Stegostoma tigrinum: one gene and its partner. The protein of the gene in region 1 purifies or fractionates together with the protein of each later gene. This does not show direct contact. Links are inferred from orthologs where the notes say so. Each region holds a gene or a part of one and is shown on either strand. Other genes may lie near its edges.

Region 1 (7,936 bases):
ATCAAAGAAAATGGTATTTTGTGATGTTCACTGCATGACAACTATAGACATAACTGAATTGCTCAGAACAAGGGAAATAGATCTGTACAGGGTTGGTGATAAAACACATGGGCTTTGCTTTACTGAAGTACTTTGGCTAGTGTACATCTTTAAATAAGGTTACTATTAAACTTGCTGTACACGGTCTGGAGTGAACCTGTTGTAAATACACACCTGAGCCAGAATCTTTTCAGAATCCCCTACAAACGGTGAAAAGAGATCTGCCCCACTGATCGACAGGAAAGGACAGCGGCAGCTGGAGGCTGCAGCTTTCACCAGCGTGGTCTTTGCACACCCTGGGGGTCCATACAGCAGAATTCCACGAGTGGGGGTCACCCCCATCCTCTCAAATGCCTGCGGGTATAGCATTGGCCACTCAATACTCTGCAGAGAGAATGCTAACAATTACAGACTGCATTCAAGATCTGCCTCATCCATTAGAGCAGACAGCTGGGAGTGGGCGACAGCGAATTCTGAGATGGGAGGGGCTTGGGTCACAACAGCCACCTGTGTCTTTAAACCACAGCTACATTCGTCACCTGTCTCAATTTCAGTTTGACTTGTTCCAGGCCACCAATTTGATCCCAATGGACAGGTTTGAAGCCAGTAAGCCCGATGCTGCTTCTCAGACAGGAAGGCTGCACAATCTTCATTGCTTCACAGAAGTCTGCAAAGGTGATTTTCTTGCTCATTGCGTCCTTAAAGAAATCAGAGTCAATAATTACAAAGAGAAATTTGAAATAGGAGAATAATTCCTAAAGTCTGTCTGATTAATGCAAAAATTAAAAAACAAAGCACGCCTATGAAGAGTCTCCATGCAGACACTGATCTGGCCTCAACTCACAGGAGTACAACTGTCTTCAGCACTCCCAGGTGTCCTGCTGTACAACTATGACTCTGACTTTTAGGTTAATTGAGAACGTGGCTAGTTCTGGAACAGCTCAGCAGGTCTGGCAGCATCTGTGGAGGAGAAAACAGAGTTAATGTTTGGGGTCTGGTGACCCTTTCTCAGAACCTTCACAGGAAGGGTCACTGGACCCAAAATGTTAACTGTTTTCTCCTTCAAAGATGCTGCCAGACCTGCTGAGCTTTTCCAGCAACTCCCGTTTTTGTTCCTGATTTACAGCATCCACAGTTCTTTTGTTTTTTAGTGGCTAGTTCTGCGACTGACTGAACATGGTTTATACTCAGCTAGTGTAAGTTTTTGAATAGCACAAATAAATTCTATGAGCCACCACTCCAGGCCTCACATGCCCTGGGCAGCACGGTTAACACACCCCACGGCCTTGCTTCTTTTGCTCTTTTTAGTACCTGAGAGCTGCGCCTCACAACCTGCAGAGCAGCCTCTCGACAAAGGGCTGTCAGATCAGCACCAACGTAACCACTTGTAGCTTCTGCCAGCCAGGACAGATCAACATCAGCCCCAAGAGGCATTGATGAGGTGACTACTTCCAGAATGGATCGGCGCTGCGACGTCGTTGGAACCCCGATTACAACCTGTAAAGGCAGTTAAAAGGCAGACTCAGTCTTTCAGATTCAGTAAATTATAAAAATCGCCCATTAAGGATTTAGTTGCATAAAAATCGCCTACATCTGACTTTGTGCTCCTGGAAGTGTTTCACTTCTCCACGTCAGGTCTGACTCTCTCAGCCTTCCTCATCCTTAATCTGTCTCTCTGCCCCCCACCCAAACCCCCAGTCTCTCTCCTCCCTCACCCCTACCCCGCGGGTACCTCTCTCTCTGGCCTAGGGGTTCGTCTCTGCCCTGCCCTGCCCTGGTGTCTACCATTCTTCCCTCAAACCAGGATCTCTGTCTCCCAAACCCTGACTACTGGCCGATTCAGGAAGGCAGGCACCTCTCGGTCAAAGCGGCCGGGTCGCCTCAATGCGGGTTCCAAGGCTTCGGGGCTGCTGCTGGCGGCTACCACGACAAGGCGAGTGCGAGGCTCCAGGCCATCCATCAGAGTAAGGAGCTGGGCCACCAGGCGGTCCTCAGGCCGGCTCCCAGCCGCCGCCCTCCGGGGGAACAGCGACTCAATGTCGTCGATGAAGACGATGCAGGGCCCGGCCCGAGCCTGGGCTTCGGCCTGGGCGAAGAGACAGCGCAGCCTCTGCTCGCTCTCCCCCGGCCGGGAGCCCCGGAGGGTAGCGGGGGAGGCGAGGATCAGTGGAGCGGCCAAATCCTGGGACACGGCGCGCAGCAGCGCCGTTTTCCCCACCCCCGGAGGCCCAAGTAACAGTAAACCCCGGGGGCACGGCAGACCGAGGCGGTTCAGGGCCCGCGGGAAACGAAGCGGAAGGTTCAGCATCTCCTGGAGCGGGGCAGCAGACAGCTGCAGGCTGCCCAGGTCCAGGCCCCTTCCTCGGGCTCGGAACTGCTCCAGGTTCAGCCGCTCCGCCACCTCCAGCTGGGTCCCGGGGCCCAGGACGCCAACGCTGCCGGGACACAGCTCCGGCTCTACTGCGGCCACATCCAGCAGGAACAACCCAGGCCAGGCCGCGGCCTCCGGCTCTACCGTAACCACAAACCCCGGGCAGAGGAACAACCCCCTCAGCAGCTCCTTCAGCAGCAGCTGTGCCACCACCGGCCCGGGCCCGGGTCCATGTGACTGAACAGCCCGCACCCGGACCCGCCTCAGTTTAACACAGGAGAGGGGCTCTAGGTGCCCGAGGCCCAAGCTCAGGCCCCGGCAAGGTCTCTCTAACAGCCCCGGACTCACGCATTTGCAGTCGAGCTGCAAGAAGCCCTCGGCCCGGTCCGCCCGTGGCCAAGCAGAGCACAGAGCTGAGCCTCCCGGTAAACAGACCCGCAGTGGTGCACCCAGGCTGAGGCCCAGAGCGGTTAAGACCCGTGGCCCAAGACGGCAGCGCTGCGAATCCCGGTCCCCAAAGTCAGCAGGGAGCAGGAGCAGCTCGGCCATTACCGACAGAGCTCCGCCCACTAGCACCAGGGACACCGCCCCTGAGCATGTCTCCGCCCACTGACACAGAAGACACCGCCCCTGAGCATGTCTCCGCCCACTGACACAGAAGACACCGCCCCTGAGCATGTGTCTCCGCCCACTGACACAGAAGACACCGCCCCTGAGCATGTCTCCGCCCACTGACACAGAAGACACCGCCCCTGAGCATGTGTCTCCGCCCACTGACACAGAAGACACCGCCCCTGAGCATGTGGACCCACCCACTCTCCACCGGGATCTGTCCGCAGGTCCCTGCCCTGATCCCGGAAGCGCTGGGTCATCTGTTTCGGTCCTAACAAGCCGCTATGAGCAGAATATATGATGATAAAGCGTTAGCGAACAGGCCGGTCATCCCGGAGCCGGTGTCGGGGCGCTGGGAACCGGCTGAGCTGCAGCGGTGAGTGCTGGTAGCGGGGGAGCTGCAAAGAGATTGGAGGCGGGCAGCGGGTGGTCTGAAAGGGGGTAACGGCTCCGCTTTGTTTGCAGCGGCCCTGGGGTGGTGCTGGAGGGAAGATTGCGGGCCGTCAGCCGCCATCAAATCATCGAGAGCGGAAAGAGCACGGTAAGGGACGGCATGATGTTTCGGGAGGGCCCCGGGGGGGTGCGTGCTGCTGCTGGAGGCCGGGCTGTGACGAGCAGAGTGGGGCGTGGTCGGTCGGTCGGGGCGGGAGCCGGGAGCGTGGTGTTAGTGTTTGTCCTGAGTCTCCGGAAGTGAAATTAAATCTCAAATTTACAAACACAACAAAAACAGGAGTTGCTGGATTTACAGTCTCCACAGTCCTTTTCGTTAAAAGAAATACTGGGAAGGTCATGTGGCACTGATTTGTATAGCAACCTGCCTCCTAACTAAAAGCTTCAGGTTCAAATCCCATACCAGGTCAAGGAGGGCGAATCCATGATGCTCCAATGATAAACAGGTATTTGTGTTTTCAACAGAGCCCTGATAAAGTGTCCTTGAAAACTTGCTATATACGCTATGGACTGATGAAAGGTCATTGACCTGAAGTATCTCTCTCTGTAAGTTATCTACCCTCTTGTGTAGAAAATTGATGGCTTTTATATCCAGAGAATTGGAGTACAAGGATGCAGAAGTTTTCCTGCATTTACAGACATCCACAGTTCTTTTGGTTTTTTCCTCAAGTTTACAAAGTTTCGCAGAAACTGAGTATTCTGTTTGTAACCGACGATCCTTTGCCACAACTGGAAACTATGTAGAATTCACTGCTCTACTTGGTTTAATGAACAAAAATGTCTAGATTTAAAAAAAACTCTTTATGCTTTTCAGCATCGTTATTTCATTCTTTATATTCAACCAACAAGGATCCATAAAAGAAAGTTTGATTCTGCTGGTGTGGAGATTGAACCAAATTTCAGTGAAACTAAAAAGGTCAACACTGGCTATTTGATGTCTTCCTTCAGTGAGTATATGAAGCCAAATTTGAGTAGCTATGACCATATTGAAAATTGAAATAGATTTGGTAGGGTGAATAGCCTACTTTGTACAACAGCCTCAAGGGTTGAATGGTTCCTGTTCCTAGATTTGGGAAGGTGAATGGCCTCCTATTTGTGTATAATTCTTTCAAGTAGCTGAATGGTCTCTACTGGTCCTGTCTAACAGCCAAGAGCGGCTGAACAGCTTCCTCTTGTTCATGTGTGTAAGTAAGGAGGATGTGGAGATTGAAATTTTCTGGAAATTAGTGTTGATAATGTTACCAGCTTTGGTGTGGGGCAGTGGGAGATCCCATTTTGTTTCTGTAGAGAACAAAAATAATTACATATTCAAAGTCATTCCACCTATTATAAATGATCCATACAGGCACGTCAGTTTTGGGTAAGTACTGAACATTTGAGTTTCTTCCTGTTTAGACTTAGTCTGTGTCAAAGAAAAATGACTGAAAACATAAGTGGTAAAACCTTAGTGAGTGAAAATTGCTGCGAGAATAGCCTCATTAAAAAGCAGGTGAAAATTGTCAAGCACCTAATGCCATGGGCTCTCAGGCCTGCTCCTTAACCTTGTGTTTTCATGTTTTACATCATCCGGTAGAGGTGGAAGCAGCGGGACAGACAGACAAAATTTTGGTTGAAGATCTGAAGCGATTAATTAATAAACCAGAGCTTATTAAAATCTCAGAGAAACACACCCCCAATCAGAGCTTGGCATTCTGGATCTCAGAGGGAGAGGTGGAAGACATTGAGCTGGAGGTTGAAGATTGTTTACGACTGAAAACCTTGGGGGACAGTCCTTTTATTTGTAAGTTTGAATGTTACATCCTGGAACAATTGATTTTTACTGAGATTCACTGTTTTTGCAGCTGTAATTTCTTACCAAACGAGAAGCAAGAGTTTCCATCAAGTCTGAATCCCCAAATTTTTCATTGCTGATGGTTGATCATCACAGTTGGAAAATGAGAAACAAGGCAATCTGTACATAGTGGGATTCTACTCACCCAGCCCCTCAATCTGACACATCCACTCTCTCTCTTCCCCAAGCATGTGTATACACACTCTCTCTTAATAAAATCTAGTGCCTTGAAGTTGAATCAAGGCAATTACATAAACAGAATATTGGGGAAAAATGGTTTAAAAGATAGGACAGTGCAATATATTTTTGAAATTTTTCATACCTCACTAAAAATATACTCCAACAGTCCACCAGGAAGGATGTATCATTGGTATGGAACTGAGATCTGGACAGATTTAGAAATCAGCAAAAGAGAAATTAGAGAGAAAACATTCCAAAAATTTAACCAAAACTATAAGGTGCTTTTAAGTATTTAAAAATGAAAAGTATAACCAAAGTGAGCCCTTTTAAAGGGCAAGATTGTGGAATCAATAATGGCTGATAGTGGAATACCGGAACAGTCTTGAATAAGTTTTATTTTATTAATTCATGAACTAGGCCAACATTTATTTAGAACATAGAACAATACAGCGCAGAACAGGCCCTTCGGCCCTCGATGTTGCACCGACCTGTGAACTAAGCCCCTCCCCCTACACGATCCCATCATTATCCATCTGCTTATCCAAGGACTGTTTAAATGCCCCTAATGTGGCTGAGTTAACTACATTGGCAGGCAGGGCGTTCCATGCCCTTACCACTCTAAGTAAAGAACCTGCTTCTGACATCTGTCTTAAATCTATCACCCCTCAATTAGTAGCTCTGCTATTTGTAGCTATTTCCCATCCTCAGTTGCTGAAGGGTAACTTAAGAGTCAACCACAGTGCGTTTGCTGATCAGACTGGGTAATGACATTGCCATTAGTGAACCACAGGGCTTTGTAATGATAATTGACAATAGTTAAATGTCTGCCATTTGCCTAGCTGTTTATATTGTTATTGCACACATCTCATCATCTGACATAGTGGGATTTGTACCCATGCCCACAAGGACATTAGACTATCAGCCCTGTGACCATACACTACACTACTACCTCCCCTGGGAGATGGCAGGTATAATAGAATAGGAGTTTGAGAAAAAAAACAAAAATTGTCAAGTGGATATTAACCAGCCTATATCCTTTTATAGACTGTTAAGTGTGCAATATTTTTAGATGGACTAAAATATGAAAAATTGTGAATTTGTCCGTTTATCACTAAGATTGGAAAAGGAGCATTATTTTAAATAGCGAGAGATTGCAGAACTCTGAAGCCCAGTGGAACCTGTGAGCTGGGACATGTACTATTAAAAGTTACTATGCAGATGCATTTAAGTGATTAAGAAGGCAAGGTTTGATCAGGAATATTCAACATGGCTTTGTCAGAGGGAGGTTGTGCCTAACAAATTTGATAGAATTTTTCCAAGTGTTAGATGAGTGTCTCGTAGTTGATGTAGTTTGTATGGATTTCAGCAAAGATATTAACAGGGTTCCAAGTGGGCAACTGACTTTTTTTTAAAGAAAAAGTAAAAGCACATGGAATCCAGGGTAACTTGGCAATTTGGATCCAAATTTGGTTTAGTGATTAGAGAGAGAGAGAAGTGACAGAAGGCTGTTTGTGTGACTCGAGGCAGGTGTCCACAGGGATCAGTGCTGGGCCCCTTATTGTTCATGATCTATATAAACAGTAGATGAGAGTGGGGTGAGGTGTTGAAAATAAGTTTTTACTGGAGTGTAGGTTGTTGAGGGGTGACCTTGTAGAGATTTATAAAATCATGAGGGACATAGAAACGGTTAACAGGAAGGATTTTTGCCTAGGATAGGGGGTGTTCAAAAATAGGGGACATATTTTCAAGGTGAGAGGAGAAAGTTCTAATGGGGCAGTTTTTTTACACTGGTTCATATGTGGAATGAAGTGTCAGAGGAAGTGGTGGATGTGGGTACAGTTATGATATTTGAAAGACATTTGGAGAAATACATGAATAGGAAACATTGGAGGGATATGGTTCAAAGACAGGCAAGTGGGACTTGCTTAATTTGGGGAAAATGGTTAGCATAGACTAGTTGGACCGAAGGGTCTATTTGCAGTGTGGCTCTGTTATGCAAAGTTTCACTGGCTGACAGTGAGGAAAGAATCTTGGATTGCAGGTAGACATGAACAGATTGGGCAGATCAGTGTAAATGAAATTTAACTTTGAAAAATAAGATGTGACATTTGGAAGAAAGGAGTAATCAATGAATGGCAGGACGCTAGGAAGCTGAGGATCATAGGATCTTGGGTTGCTTGTCCATAGTTTCCTAAAGGCAGCAGGACAGGTTAATAGGATGGTTCAGAAGGCATATGGGACACATTACAACTTGGCCTTGGTGTAAATTATAAGAGTAGGGAGATTTTTTTGCTGCTGTACTCTATTTTGATGAGACCACAGCTGGAGTATACTGTGCATGTCTGGTCACCACTCTATAAGGATAGGATTTCATTGGAAGGAGTGTAGAGCAGATTCACCAGTATAAAAGAACAAAGAACTGTGAATGCTCGAAATCTGAAATAAAACAGGAA
Region 2 (7,371 bases), on another chromosome or scaffold:
GCCTGCAAGAATTTGAGGCTAATCAGGGCACAATCTGTAGATGGTATAACGTGGCGAAAATTGTATTTAAACTATTCTTTGCAGAGTACCAAAATTATTTTGCCAAATATTGGAATTCAGTAATATTAAAGTGGAATGATATAAAATCTGCTTAAATCAACTGAAAAGTAGATGTTACTTGCGTTGATATTATTGGATGAGCTTTTAATATGTTCATACAAGTTGCTAACACACCAAAAACAGAAGTGTTTCTGCATATTATGCCTTGCTAACATCATGGACAGTATTTGAAGGCTTATAAGAATATTTTATTGAAAGGTACAATCATATTGATGATTTTGTCACATAGAATGATACATATTGTTCGAGTTAGAGTATTGACAAGTGACATTGACAAATGGTAGTTTACTGGTATATCAGATTAATCACTTTGATTTAATTATTCCTCTGAATTGAAACAATATTTTTTATTCTGTAAATTTTTATATGATTAGCATAAACTAAATGTTTATATTTTCCACAATACTTAACATTGTAGTGTATTAGTGCATTTTTTCAGCATTGCTCATGTACATGAAAAAGTTATTAATGGATCAGGAAACTTCTTTTTCAGAGGTGGTAGCAATTCTGGTTTTCACACCAAGATAATAAAGTGTGAAGCTGGATGAACACAGCAGGCCAAGCAGCATCTCAGGAGCACAAAAGCTGATGTTTCGGGCCTAGACCCTTCATTCTCTCTAGGCCCGAAACGTCAGCTTTTGTGCTCCTGAGATGCTGCTTGGCCTGCTGTGTTCATCCAGCTCCACACTTTGTTATCTTGGATTCTCCAGCATCTGCAGTTCCCATCATTTCTGGGTTTCACACCAACAGGTTAATAGCTGGAATTTGAAACCAGACAAGAAATCTTACAAGTTATTACATTTGATCAGTTAATAATTAAGTTTTTCCTCCCTTCTTTTGAAGCAGTAATATGTGGTGTTTTTCTTCTTCTTCCATGGTATGTAGGTGATTGCCAGGGTCAGAATTTGTTGCCAATCCCTGGAGAAGGTGGTGGTGAGCTACCTTCTTGTACCACTATCATCCCTTTCAGACAGAGGTGTACCCCAGTGCTGTTAGAAAGGGAGACCCAAGATTTTAATCCTGCAACAGTGAAGGGTTGTTGTGTCCCTGAGTACCCCAAAATCCATGCTAAGGTTCCAATTCATGATGATGTGTGGCTAAGAAGGGGCTTACAGATGCTGGTGTTCCATGCATCTGGTACCCTCATTCTTTTAGGTGATAGAAATCTCAGGATTGGAGGATGCTGTCAAACAAATGTTGGTGAGTTGCCACAGTCCATTGTGATGTATTTCTCCATCTCCATGCACTGGTGGTTAAAGGAGTGAAGTTGGTCCGATGAAATGCTGATTAAAGTGGGATGCTTTGTCCTGGATGTTTTATCAGAAATGTAAACACTAGCTGAAAAAAAACTACAGTTGCATTTATTGAAAAAGCAAAAATGAGGTTCAAAGTTTTACAGAAGTCAGGCAAGATAACTATACAGGAGGAAAGCGATTGCTGAAGAGAAAGCAACCAATTTTATGCAGTGTCTTTATATCAATAGCTGGAATATTACAAACAAAATAGAGTAACTAAAGACACATGGACGGATTGATCTGTTAGCAATGACAAATCCAGCTGCAACTTTAGTGAGAATGAAAGTGAGAAATTTAAGCTTTAATATTCACAGGAGTTCTTGCACCTTGTGACAGGTAGCACCCTGTCTCTTGACCAGAAGCACAGATGATTAGGGAAGAAAAATATCACTATTTATAGCTCCAGATTATAAAAGGCATGTAATGTTGCATATTGATACAGCAACATAGATACCCACAGAATTTGTAAAAATGGAATATACAAGTGGATGAGCAGAATCTACAAAAGCACTAGCATGATACTAAAAGAATCACAGAATCCCTACAGTGTGAAGACAGGCTATTCAGTCCTTGAGTCCACATTGACCCTCCAAACAGCATCCCACCTAGACCCACTGCATCCCTCTAATCCTAAATTTCTCATGGTTAACTCACCAAGCCTGCATATCCCTGACCACTATGAGCAATTTCGGCACGATCAACTCACCTAATCTGCATAGATTTGGACTGTGGGAGGAAACTGGAGCACCCAGAGGAAACCCAATGGGAGAATGTCTGTGTGGAGTTTGCACAGTCACCCAAGGGTGGAATCAAACCTGCGTCCCTGGCAGCAGCACTAGTCACTGAGCTACTGTGCGGTGTCCAAAAACAAGGAACAATTTGATGGATTTGTTCACAGAATTAAATGCTTGTGTATTTTCAGAGCAATTCAATGACCGATCTCATTCATTTCATCTTTGGTTTTTTTGTTGAAAATTGGTTTATGAGCACAACATTGTAATGATCAGGAATCAAACCCAGGTCAACTGCTTAGAAGGCAGATATGCTCACCGGTGTTCTGCCAGAATTTCTGTGGCATAGGAAAGTATCTTAGCAGAAGAAGCACATTTAACTGCATATGCAGATCAGAATGCATGTAAAATGTGATGAAGGGAGATTTACCAGAACAAGAATGGGAATTAATTTACTGAATATATTCAGGATCATTAGTCAAGTAGTGTTTCATCAATGAAACATGTGAACCTTAATATTGGTGAAAGTAATGAATCAGGAATAAAAGATCTACTGATAAATAAAACATTTGGTAATTCTTACACATTTCAGTCTACTGTGGATATTTCTTGTATATTATACCAAGCATTTTACATAAACTACTAACCATTCTGTGCCCCATTGTGGTCTGAATAGGATATTGTGCTTTCTGTCAATGTCACCACAGTCCAGTCTTCAGTTTGTTTGAAAGTGAAATTAAACATTCAGTAAACAAGATCAGATAAATTGTTAAGCTGCAGCATTTCACCTTATGTGGATGTAAAAGATAACAATTAAAGAAAAATAGAATGTGGAGCTGGATGAACACAGCAGGCCAAGCAGTATCTTGGGAGCACAAGGGTCTAGGGCTGAAACGTCAGCTTTTGTGCTCCCAAGATAATGCTTGGCCTGCTGTGTTCATCCAGCTCCACACTTCGTTATCTCAGATTCTCCAGCATCTGTAGTTCCCATTATCTCTGAATTAAAGAAAAGTAATCTGCTTAAGTCAATCTTACTCCTTTCCTCACAAACACGGACTTTACTAACTGAGTACAATGTCCAATTTGACTTACTCCTTATACCCAATTCAAGGATAAACCACATCATTTAAACCTTCATAATATACAGGAAGACCAAGAAAAACAGGGATAGAGTCCAGGATGCATTGAGATCAGAAAATGAAGAAACCAGATGCAGTCACAGCATTTATGGAGAGAGAACCAGAGTTATATTTCTGGTTTCCTTCAAAATTCAGGATATACTAAGATGGTGAGAGCATGGTAACACTGAGCACTGAGATTGAACCATGCTGATAGACACCTGCCCCCACACCACCACCCTCACCCCCATCCCAGGCCCAAGGTGACTTTCCACATCAAGCAGATGTTCACCTGCACATCCGCCAATGTGGTATACTGCATCCGAAGTACAGAGTGTGGCTTCCTCTACGCTGGGGAAACCAAGCGGAGGCTTGGGGACTGCTCTGCAGAACACCTACACTCGGTTCACAGTAAACAACTGCACCTCCCAGTTGCGAACCATTTCAACTCCCCCTCCCATTCCTTAGACGACATGTCCATCCTGGGCCTCCTGCAGTGCCATAATGATGCCACCTGTAGGTTGCAGGAACAGCAACTCATATTCCGCTTGGGAACTCTGCAGCCCAATGGTATCAATGTGGACTTCACAAGCTTCAAAATCTCCCCTTCCCCTACTGCAGCCCAAAACCAGCCCACCTCACCCCGCCTCCCTAACCTGTTCTTCCTCTCACCTATCCCCTCCTCCCACCTCAAGCTGCACCTGCATTTTCTACCTACTAACCTCATCCCACCTCCTTGACCTATCCATCCTCCCTGGACTGACCTATCCCCTCCCTACCTCCCCACGCATACTCTCCTCTCCACCTATCTTCTCCTCTATCCATCTTCGGTCCGCCTCCCCCTCTCTCCCTATTTATTTCAGAATCCTCTCCCCCCCCCCCCCCTCCCTATTTATTTCAGAATCCCCCCCCCCCGATGAAGGGGCTAGGCCCGAAATGTCAGCTTTTGTGCTCTTAAGATGCTGCTGGGCCTGCTGTGTTCACCCAGTCCCACACTTTGTTATCCTGCTAGACATGGCCATGTGACTTGAACATTTGGAACGGTGCAATCTGGGAGTTGTAGTTCTCAAAATTTCAGCCGGCAATCGGTGCGCATGCGCCGCTCCGCCTTCCTCGCGCTTGGTCCGTGGCTGCAGTAGGTTAGAGGGCCCTCGCTAGGATGGACAGCTTCTCTTCAGATTTCTCCTCAGGCGGGCCTGGAGGAGGGAAGGTGGACTCCGGGATGATCATGGAGCAGGTGAAACTGCAAATCGCCGTGGCAAACGCACAGGAACTTTTACAGGTTGGTAGGCGCTAAAGAGTATCCAACAGTAGGACCTGGCTCCATGGAGCTCCTCCCTCCAGTTACCGTCCTCACCGGTTCCCGCGGTATGATGGTCGGCCGGTCCGACCAATGAGAATTCAGGCGACGAGGGGGCGGGGGAAATCATTGCATATGACGTCATGGGCACGGTGTCTTGAAGGCAAAGGTCAATCTTCCTTTACAGCGTTCGCCCCCCACGTGGAGGACAAGGACATTGAAAATCCCAACTGAAGCTGGCAACCAGGAAGTTTGCAGGTTTTTTTATTTTTAATGAATGGAATTTTCCATTTCTCAATGCTACGATATCCTGAAAAAAAATCAATCCAATGTAGCTTTGTTAGCTCCTCGAATAGAGTAACAAATTTCAAGGACCTTCCCAGGTCTAGCAAAGGACATAGAGATCGAAAGCACGGAAACAGACCCTTTGGTCAACTCTTCCATATTATCGATTTGTTACCTCTAGGCTTAACTATCATAACACACTTCTACTTGGTCTCCCACATTCAACCTCCTTGTAATCTTAGTGATACCTGAAACTCTGCTCACCTGCAACAAAACTTGTTAACCCATCAACTCTGTGTTCCCTCACATACAAAGGTTCCTTTTTGTAAGCAACATATTAAAATTTTCATCATCTATTTAATTCCTGGCTGTGTTCATCCTTATCTCCCCACACAATTCAAACTTTGAGACCTCAAGAATTCATTTATTCAGATTCCAGCAATGCGTTTATTCATTGCTTCACTATTGGTGGCTGTTGCTACAGTTGCCAAAGCTTTTGTATCCCAAACCACTTGCAATAATTGCCAACATACCTTTGACTTCGTGGTCATATTGTTATATCTGCATGTTAACTTTTGGTTGTTAAGAAGGATCACTGGACCCACAGATGCTGCCAGACCCCCCCGAGTTTCTCCAGCAATTTATGTTTCTGTTTCTGTTAATTTTTTGAGTTTTGACGATATTTCAATGCCTTTAAACACCAATAGTCAATAGTTTCCCACCATCCGTTAGTAGCAAATATACCAACTTTTTCTGACCTGTCTATTCCAAACTCTTTCTGTCCTTTAATTACTCCACTACTCATGCTGTTATGTTACCCTAACCTTGTGAACACATTGAGCCAAGTAAAATGATATGAGGACTAATGAACAAAAGCGTTGTCAAAAAGGTAGGATATAAGGAGTGAAATAAAACAAGGATGCTGATGATCTGGAACAAGAACGTAAATTGCTTGAGAAACTTAGCAGGTCTGGCAGTGTCTGTGAAGAGAAAAGAGGTAATGTTTCGAGATCTGTGATCCTTTTTCAGATGGATATAAGGAGTGTCTGAATGGAGGAAGGAGTGCCAACAAGGCAACTGCAGACTTTAGGACCAAAGCAGCTGAAAGCATGCCCTACACTATCTTAGGGAGGGAGTTGTAGAATTTTGGCTAAATGGCATTTGGTATGCTCGCCTTTACTAGTAGGTGGATTGAGTATAGGAGTTGGGAGGTCATGTTGCAGATGTACTGCACATTGGTTAGGCCAGCATCGGAATACTGCATACAGTTCTGGTCTCCCTACAGTTCTGGTCTCCCTGTTCAAGGAAGGATGGTGTGAAACTTGAAAGGGTTCAGAAAAGATTTACAAGGATATTGTCAGGGTTGGAGGGTTTGAGCTTTAGTTAGAGGCTGAGTAGACTGGGGTTATTTTCTCTGGAATGTCAGAAGCTGAAGGGTGACCTTATAGAAGCCTATGAAACCACCATGAGGGGCATGGATAAGGTAAATAGACAAGGTTTTTTCCTTGGGGTTGAGGAATTCAAAACTACTGGGCATAGGTTTAAGGTGAGAAGGGGAAAAAGGTTCCTAAGAGGCAACTTTTTCATACAGAAGGTGCATGTATGGAATGAGCTGCTAGAGGAAGTGTTGGGGGCTGGTACAATTATGGCATTTAAAAAGACACCTGGATGGCATATGAGTAGGAAGGGTTTAGAGGGATATGGGCCAAATGCTGGCAAATGGGACTAGATTTATTTAGGATATGTGGCCGGCATGGATCGGTTGGACTGAGGGATGTATTTCTGTGCTGTATATGTCAATGTCTAACATGTTTGCATAATTAAGTCCAGAACCAAAGATTACTGGTTAGTTTGGTTTCTTAAACAAAAAAAAATAAAGATGACTAGGTTGTCTTGTGTCCCTTTAGGAAAGGTGAAAACTTTGAATTGTTAATGGCATTATCAAGACTTTTTTTAATGGTATGTGGGCCTCAGTGCCAAATTCAGTATTGTTCCCCATCTTTAGTTGCTAGGTAGTTTCAAAGGCTGGGTAATCACAGTACAGCAGGTCCAGGTAAGGTTGGCAGATTTCCATTCTTAAAGGACATTGGTGAACCAGATGGCCTTTTACGTATATGTAAGTGTATGAATGAGAAGCAGAAATAGTCCTATTGGCCACTACATGCCTGTTCCAGTATTCTGTATGTTTGTATATTTGCATCTACCCCAGATAATATTTGAAGCCCTTGCCTAACAGGAATCTGTCTAATTTTGCCTTTAAAATGCTCAATGATACTTCCTCCACCTCCTTCTGAGACAGAAAGTTCTGAAGTCTCAAAACAGCACGAGAAAAAAGCTTCCACCTTTTCTGAAAACCATGCAGGCTATTAGATCATAGAAGTTATCATAGAGTCACTACAGTGTGGAAACAGGCCCTTCGGCCCTACAAGTCCACACCGGCCTTCAGACCATCCCACCCAGACCCATCACCCTATACCCCACCTAATCTACACAACCCTGAACACAATGGGCAGTGTAACGTG

What was found.
Region 2: the proteins of afg2b (region 1) and timm13 purify together in Homo sapiens (co-immunoprecipitation; 3 studies listed by BioGRID and IntAct, with this or other methods). This does not show direct contact. The link is inferred for Stegostoma tigrinum from reciprocal best matches to the Homo sapiens genes AFG2B and TIMM13.

Annotation. Positions count from the first base shown.
Region 1 is NC_081386.1:37,033,914-37,041,849, forward strand, and holds the start of afg2b (spermatogenesis-associated protein 5-like protein 1), read right to left. Parts: upstream 3,018-7,936; 5' UTR 2,960-3,017; coding exon 1,895-2,959; intron 1,537-1,894; coding exon 1,351-1,536; intron 738-1,350; coding exon 579-737; intron 424-578; coding exon 214-423; intron 178-213; exon of another isoform or gene 1-177. Other genes in the region: arpin-like, read left to right, coding at 3,307-3,398, 3,488-3,563, 4,287-4,419, 5,046-5,252. UniProt on the Homo sapiens protein: ATP-dependent chaperone part of the 55LCC heterohexameric ATPase complex which is chromatin-associated and promotes replisome proteostasis to maintain replication fork progression and genome stability.
Region 2 is NC_081383.1:26,604,770-26,612,140, reverse strand, and holds the start of timm13 (mitochondrial import inner membrane translocase subunit Tim13), read left to right. Parts: upstream 1-4,356; 5' UTR 4,357-4,423; coding exon 4,424-4,546; intron 4,547-7,371. UniProt on the Homo sapiens protein: Mitochondrial intermembrane chaperone that participates in the import and insertion of some multi-pass transmembrane proteins into the mitochondrial inner membrane.